Linked DNA regions of Ovis aries. The protein of the gene in region 1 purifies or fractionates together with the protein of each later gene. This does not show direct contact. Links are inferred from orthologs where the notes say so. Each region holds a gene or a part of one and is shown in the gene's direction. Other genes may lie near its edges.

Region 1 (3,650 bases):
CCCCCAGCCTCTATTATCTCCACCTACAGACATGTATTCCTCATGTGTCTCTGCCATGACATATGTGTGTCCCCCCGGCCCCTGTATCTCCACCTACAGACATGTATTCCTCATGTGTCTCTGCCATGACATATGTGTGTCCCCCTGGCCCCTGTATCTCCACCTACAGACATGTATTCCTCATGTGTCTCTGCCGTGACATACGCGTGCCCCCCCAGCCTCTATTATCTCCACCTACAGACATGTATTCCTCATGTGTCTCCACCATGACATATGTGTGTCCCCCCGGCCCCTGTATCTCTACCTACAGACATGTATTCATCATGTGTCTCTGCCATGACATACGCGTGCCCCCCCAGCCTCTATTATCTCCACCTACAGACATGTATTCCTCATGTGTCTCCACCATGACATATGTGTGCCCCCCTGGCCTCTGTTATCTCTACCTACAGACATGTATTCCTCATGTGTCTCTGCCATGACATACGTGTGCCCCCCTGGCCTCTGTTATCTCCACCTACAGACATGTATTTTCATGTGTCAAGGATGGCCAGTAGCAACTTTAGGCACACCATATCTGTCTTCTAGCTGGTGATGAGAGTGAAGAGTGGTTATGGTTTGTGACTTGGTAGTTTCAATTGAATACTCTGGGAATTATTTGATGCCTTCTTCCTTGATGGATTGTGGGCAAAATAATTATTGTGAACTTATGTAGACCATTTTGAAAGGGTTCTAATCTTTTTGAACACGTCCAAATTCTTTGTATCCATTGCTATTTATTTTTATGTAAAATAAGGCTTAACTTAATATCCCTTTCTTTCAGCTGTATCAGTTGGAGTAGTTATCATAAGAACCTATTAGCCAGCAGTGATTATGAAGGCACCGTCATCCTATGGGATGGATTCACAGGACAGAGGTCAAAGGTCTATCAGGTAAATAAGAATACTAGTTACCTGTGGTTGTTGTTACTATTCAGTCGCTCAGTCGTGTCCAACTCTTTGCGATCCCATGGACTGCAGCACACCAGATTCCCTGTCCATCACTATCTCCAGAGTTTGTTCAAACTCATGTCCATTGAGTCGATGATGCCATCTGACAATCTTATCTTCTGTCATCCCGTTTGCCTTTTGCCCTCAATCTTTCCCAGCATCAGAGTCTTTTCCAGTGAGTCAGCTCTTTGCATCAGGTAGCCAAAATATTGGAGCTTGTTGCAAGAATCACATTTGTACTTTTTAATAATTATAGAGCTTCATGCATTTTATAATTACAAATTTAAAATCATTGTTTAGCATTTCCTCAGTTCCTCAGTTCAAATGGCAACCCACTACAGTATTCTTGCCTGGGGAATCCCAGGGACGGGGGAGCCTGGTGGGCTGCCGTCAGTGGGGTCGCACAGAGTCTGACACAACTGAAGTAACTTAGCAGCAGCAGCAGCAGCAGTTCCTCAGGTCAGCCGCTCATTTATATCTGACACTTTGCGACCCCATGGACTGCAGCACCCCAGGCTTCCCTGTCCATCACCAACTCCCAGAGCTTGCTCAAACTCATGTCCATCGAGTCAGGGATGCCATCCAACCGTCTACCTATGTAATTCCAGTAATGCTCTTTGCATTTGTAGGATGAATTTCCAAAAGTGGTAATTTTATAAATGTATATTTAAAAAGTTTATGGAGCTACTTTGCATCTCCTTTATTTTCATAGCCAGTTCTTTCTCCCTCCCACCATAGTGATAAATTGGTATCAGCTATGTTTATTTGTTTTGCTTTATTTAAGATCTATATTCTGAGACTACTTTGTCTTCCTTCTACATCTAGGAACATGAGAAGAGATGTTGGAGTGTTGACTTTAATTTGATGGATCCTAAACTCTTGGCTTCAGGTTCTGATGATGCAAAAGGTACTATTTGGGTCTCCCCCCCGAATTAATTCCTTTTAAAACCTAACAGAAATACACATATTTATTGAAACCCATAGTGATCCTTTGCGATTACTGATTATTCTAAAAATAGTCTAATAAGCACAAAAATCTTTATTTCTTGGAGTGAAAGAAAAATGAATATTCTGCATCTTCATTATAATAATTTTTTCTGAATTCATGCCTGTGATGTATTTATAACCAGTTCCTGTACATATACTGTGAAATGAACTTTTTTGTTGAAATATTTAGACATCACTGTATTCTGAATTGTATTAAATTCTGAGTGTATACCAAAATCTTTGAATGAAGTAAATCATGTTTCAAGGCAGAAATTCTATATTTCTTTCTGCCAATTTCATTGATCTTTCTATTTTTGTGTATGTGTGTGTGTGTGGTGTGTGTATCTGTCTTTACTGTTTGTTCTTTCCCGTTACTGTCTTCTTTTGGCCTGTTTTTTCTCAAGATTAGATTTATAAAGCCCTGTTAACAGATTTCTTTTATCTTGGCCCTCTCCTTCCTTTCCATCTGTAACTTGCAGACTAGTGAATAGATAGGCAGGGGTAGCTCTAGCGTTGGAAACTTTATTTCACAATGATTGTTGTTGTTGTTCAGTCTCTCAGTTGTGTCCGACCCTTTGCGACCCCTTGGCCTGCAGCACACGAGGCTTCCCTATGCTTCACCATCTCCTGGAGCTTGCCCAAACTCATGTCCATTGGGTTGGTGATGCCATCCAACCATCTCATTCTCAGTTGTCCCCTTCTCCTCCTGCCTTCAATCTTGCCCAGTAATCAGGGTCTTATCTAATGAGTCGGCTCTTCACATCATGTGGCCCAAGTACTGGAGCTTCAGCTTCAGCATGAGTCCTTCCATTGAATATTCAGGACTGATTTCCTTTAAGATTGACTAGTTTGATCTTGCAGCCCAAGAGACTCCCAGGAGTCTTCTCCAACACCACATTTCAAAAGCATCAATTCTTCAGCTCTGCTTTCTTTATGGTCCAACTCTCACATCCATACATGACTACTGGAAAAACCATAGCTTTTACTAGACAGACCTTTGTTGGCAAAGTAATCTCTCTGCTTTTTAATATGCTTTCTATGTTTGTCATAGCTTTTCTTTTAGGGAGCAAGGGTCTTTTAATTTCATGGCTGCAGTCACCATCTGCAGTGATTTGGGGGTCTGAGAAAATAAAAATCTGTCACTGTTTGCATTGTTTACCCATCTGTGACTGGATGCCATGATCTTTGTTTTGGGAGTGTTGAGTTTTAAGTCAGCTTTTTCACTCTCTTGTTTCACCTTCTTTAGTTCCTCTTCGCTTTCTGCCATAAGGATGGTGTCATCTGCATATCTGAGGTTATTGGTATTTCTCCCCGCAATCTTGATTCCAGCTTGTGCTTCATCAAACCCAGCATTTCACATGATGTATTCTGCATGTAAGTTAAATAAGTAGAGTGACAGTCTACAGCCTTGACGTACTCCTTTCCCAGTTTGGAACCAGTCCTTTGTTCTATGTCCGGTTTTAACTGTTGCTTCTTGACCTGCATACAGGTTTTTCAGAAGGCAGATGAGACGGTCTGGTAGTCCCATCTCTTTAAGAATTTTCCATGGTTTGTTCTGATCTACACAATCAAAGGCTTTAGCGTAGTCAATGAAGCAGAAGTAGATGTTTTTCTGCAATTCTCTTGCTTTTTCTGTGATCCAGCGGGTGTTGGCAATTTGATCTCTGGTTCCTC
Region 2 (3,502 bases), on another chromosome or scaffold:
TGAGGTGGATGGAGCTATGCCAGCCTGTCTGGATGAGAAAGCTGAGGATGGGTCCCATACCAGCCCTTCAGGGACAGCACAAGGGGCGCCCCTGGTCTCTGGCACCTGTGGGGTGTGGCGCATCACCTCCCCAATAACCCAGGGCGGCAGAGGCACTGAGGAATGCAAACGTCCACATGACCTCGGGCCCACTGCAGCAGCTGCGGATGTGGGGGTCTTGGAGTGCGAACCCAGGAGGTGGGGGCACATAGCGTTTCCTTTGTCTCAGGACCGACCCCGTGATTCTGAACCCTTGGCTTCCGAAGGTGTTACTGAGGGAGAAGCCTCAGCAGATGAACCTGTGGGTCAGGGGACCCGTCTCCCTCATCTGCCTGTCCCTCCATCCCCAGATAAATAGCCAGGGATTCAGAGCAGGAAAGCAGACGGCGTCTCTCAGCCCCTTTGTGGTGGTCCAATAAGCTATGCATCCCAATTGTCGTCAGGGCAAAAGCGGTGCTCTTTCTTTCTTTCTTTTTAAAAAATTAATTTATTTTGATGGGAGGATAGTTTTCTTTACAGTATTGTGAGGGTTTTTGCCAGGACGAGGGAGACACGGGTGCTTTTTTCAATCGCGGAATTAAATGACACTCTTTCCCGTCCCTGCCACAGGTGGCGCGCCGGTGGGGAAAGAGGAAAAACAAGCCCAAGATGAACTACGAGAAGCTCAGCCGCGGTTTGCGCTATTACTACGACAAGAATATCATCCACAAGACGTCAGGCAAGCGCTACGTGTACCGCTTCGTGTGCGACCTGCAGAACTTGCTGGGCTTCACGCCCGAGGAACTGCATGCCATCCTGGGCGTCCAGCCGGACACGGAGGACTGAGCCCGCCCGGGCCGGGAGCGGGCTGTCAAAGCGACCCGTCCCAGGACCCTGAAAGGCCGGACCGGCGCATCCAGCACGCCTCTCGGAAGCAGTGGCCTTACTCCATCCGACACCGCCGGAAGCAGCTCGGTTTCTCGCTTCTGAAAGCCTGCTGCCGGGAACCGCCGCTTAACGATGCTATTCCATTCGATCGGCCCAGGAAGAAGCTTGGGGCCCCCTGCCTAGCCCTGGGCGGGCTGTGTGGTGACAGGATCGTTCAGGCAGTTGGGTCTTCTCAAAGGAGCGAGCGTGTCACGGACGCACACTTCTTGGATTTTTCTTTTGCCTTTTTGCAGCCAGGAATCCCACAAGAGCTCTCTTTGGTTCTGAGGGGGAGGAGGGGGCAAAGACACATGCTGTTTCTGAAGTTAGTTTGTATATATGACTGTAACCTTGTAATTGTTATTAGAGTCCCCTAACAGACCTATTTAACAGAAATTGTATATTGTAATTTAAAATAATTATATAACTATGTGAAAATAGGAATGCAGATGGTATTTTGCAATGTTCGCTGGTTTTCAAGAGCACTGGCGTCCTTTTGCAAACATTTAATCTGCCGGCGCAGATTAAGAGAAATTGTAAAGTGTATATTATTTACATTTAATGTGCCTACAGGAATAAGGTCTAAGAAGGTTCCTTCCTGTTTTGTTTCGTTTTGCCTGGGTTATTATCTATGGCAAGGACTTTGTACATTAGGGAATTTTTATAAGAAACTTAATGTTATTATCTGGGGGCCTCTCCTGGCCTCTCTGCTTCTCCTTTAATTGTAATGTAAAAGCTATAAAGCAGTATTTTTCTTGACAGATGGCATATGTTTTCCATTTCTATGCATGCCTTGAAATAAGTTTATATACAAAATTTACTTTATTTTTTAGTTCAACTGTGTTTTCCCCAGCCACTCACCTCCCCTGACCAGGCATTTCCTTCCCCAGCCCCATCCCCACACCCCAAATTATGCTGTATGATTAAAATAGGAATACTATTTTTGGAACTATGCGACTCCTTTTCAGAGATCAGGAGGGATTTATGTAGCAGCTATTTTTACTGCAAAAGTAATTCACTGGAAAAAAAAATGTAATTTGTAAGAAAGTTTTACTTTTACTGCAGCACTGTGGAAAGTGAACCAACCGTACAGAGCTGAAGGTGCAGGGGCAGGGGAGGTTTAATTAATAAACCTCTCGAGCATGAGTGGAGCCTGATTTTGTCCCGTCTTGCTTACCTGTGGAGTCTCAGGCTTTCCGGACACCAAGCTGCTCCTTTCTGTTGAGTGTCCACAGTTTTTATTTTCTTGCACACAGAATGATGCCCAGAGGCAAATAGAGGGTCAGCAAGATGGGAAAGAGAAGGCATTGGGGTCGTTCATGTGAAGAAAACGTCTTCATCGTGATGGAGAATTTCACAGTCCTTTCGAAGGAACCCCTGGTTCAGCCTGTGTTCCTGGCTTTTGTAAACGGATCGAGTTGGTTTCCAAGTCAGACTTCACTAGCGTCGTAGGGGGACCAGTGGTGACGTCTCTGAAGACAAATCCTCCATGTGATGAGATGGGGGAATTGGGTGGTAGGGTGAGCAGAGGAGAGCCGGAAGGGGGACCACTGAGTCTAGTACCAGACAAGACTGTTTGCACTATGGCTAAGCACAGGATGTTCTTCTCAAGCAAGACCTGTTTATCTGCTGGACAGCTGTTTATAACATCAACAGACATGCGGCTGGGAACATCTAGCTGCTGAAAGAAATCAGCCATCCGCTCGCTCATTTTATTTGGGCTTTGACCGCATGAATTTGCCAGTATTTGTCTGTTTTTATCTACAGAGTTGGCAATTTTACATGGCTCGACCCAAGAGTCATGGAAAATCAAATCCATGGTAAACCTTTGGCATGATAATAAACAGGACTTATATATCACAGTTTTGTAATCTGGCCTTTTCTTTCTCAAATAATAAAGTATTTTGTTTACATCAATTCCTCCTTGTAAGAGTCTTCATGCTTCAACCCTATGCCTACCTCCCCCAGCGTGGAGGCGGTGGATCCAGAATGCTGGGCCAGCCCCTCGGTGGCTGTCACTTCAGGTCACAGCCCCTTTGAACTGACTTTACGCGCTTCTCCCCCAGCAAATCAGGACAAAGCTGGAACCAACTGTGAACCTTCCTGAAGCAATTCCTAAAAAGTGTTCCTTAAAGAGAAGGTTTTTCAAGGAGAGATTAGAAAGATTTGGGTATCTTGTCTTCACCTGGGCTTTGGCAGAGATCACAGAACAGACTTCAGGATATTTTTGTTAAGAACACGAGGGTAGCAACATCCGTGGTGGTCCAGTGATTCAGTCTCTGCTTCCATGCAGTGGGGTGCAGGTTTGATCCCGAGTCAGGGAACTAACTTCCCACATACTGTGTGGAATGACCAAAAACCTAAATAGGTTTTTAAAGATCCAATTAAAGAAAGAAGAACCTTAGGGTTGGAAGCTCAAAGACTTGTAATTGAGGCCTCGACTCCCCTGGAGTGCTGACGTAACCGAGACGAGGGTGGTGATCCTAGGATGCCTGAGCGCAAACTCATTCTTGGACCTCTTTTCCACTCTCCAGAATTAGTGAGGATTCCAGAACCT

What was found. Proteins that work in one complex are often made in the same cells at the same time.
Region 2: the proteins of COP1 (region 1) and ETS2 purify together in Homo sapiens (affinity purification with western blotting; 3 studies listed by BioGRID and IntAct, with this or other methods). This does not show direct contact. The link is inferred for Ovis aries from reciprocal best matches to the Homo sapiens genes COP1 and ETS2.

The regions. Positions count from the first base shown.
Region 1 is NC_056065.1:56,630,327-56,633,976, reverse strand, and holds part of COP1 (E3 ubiquitin-protein ligase COP1), read left to right. Parts: intron 1-823; coding exon 824-932; intron 933-1,814; coding exon 1,815-1,896; intron 1,897-3,650. UniProt on the Homo sapiens protein: E3 ubiquitin-protein ligase that mediates ubiquitination and subsequent proteasomal degradation of target proteins.
Region 2 is NC_056054.1:271,802,017-271,805,518, forward strand, and holds the end of ETS2 (protein C-ets-2), read left to right. Parts: intron 1-648; coding exon 649-864; 3' UTR 865-2,862; downstream 2,863-3,502. UniProt on the Homo sapiens protein: Transcription factor activating transcription. Binds specifically the DNA GGAA/T core motif (Ets-binding site or EBS) in gene promoters and stimulates transcription.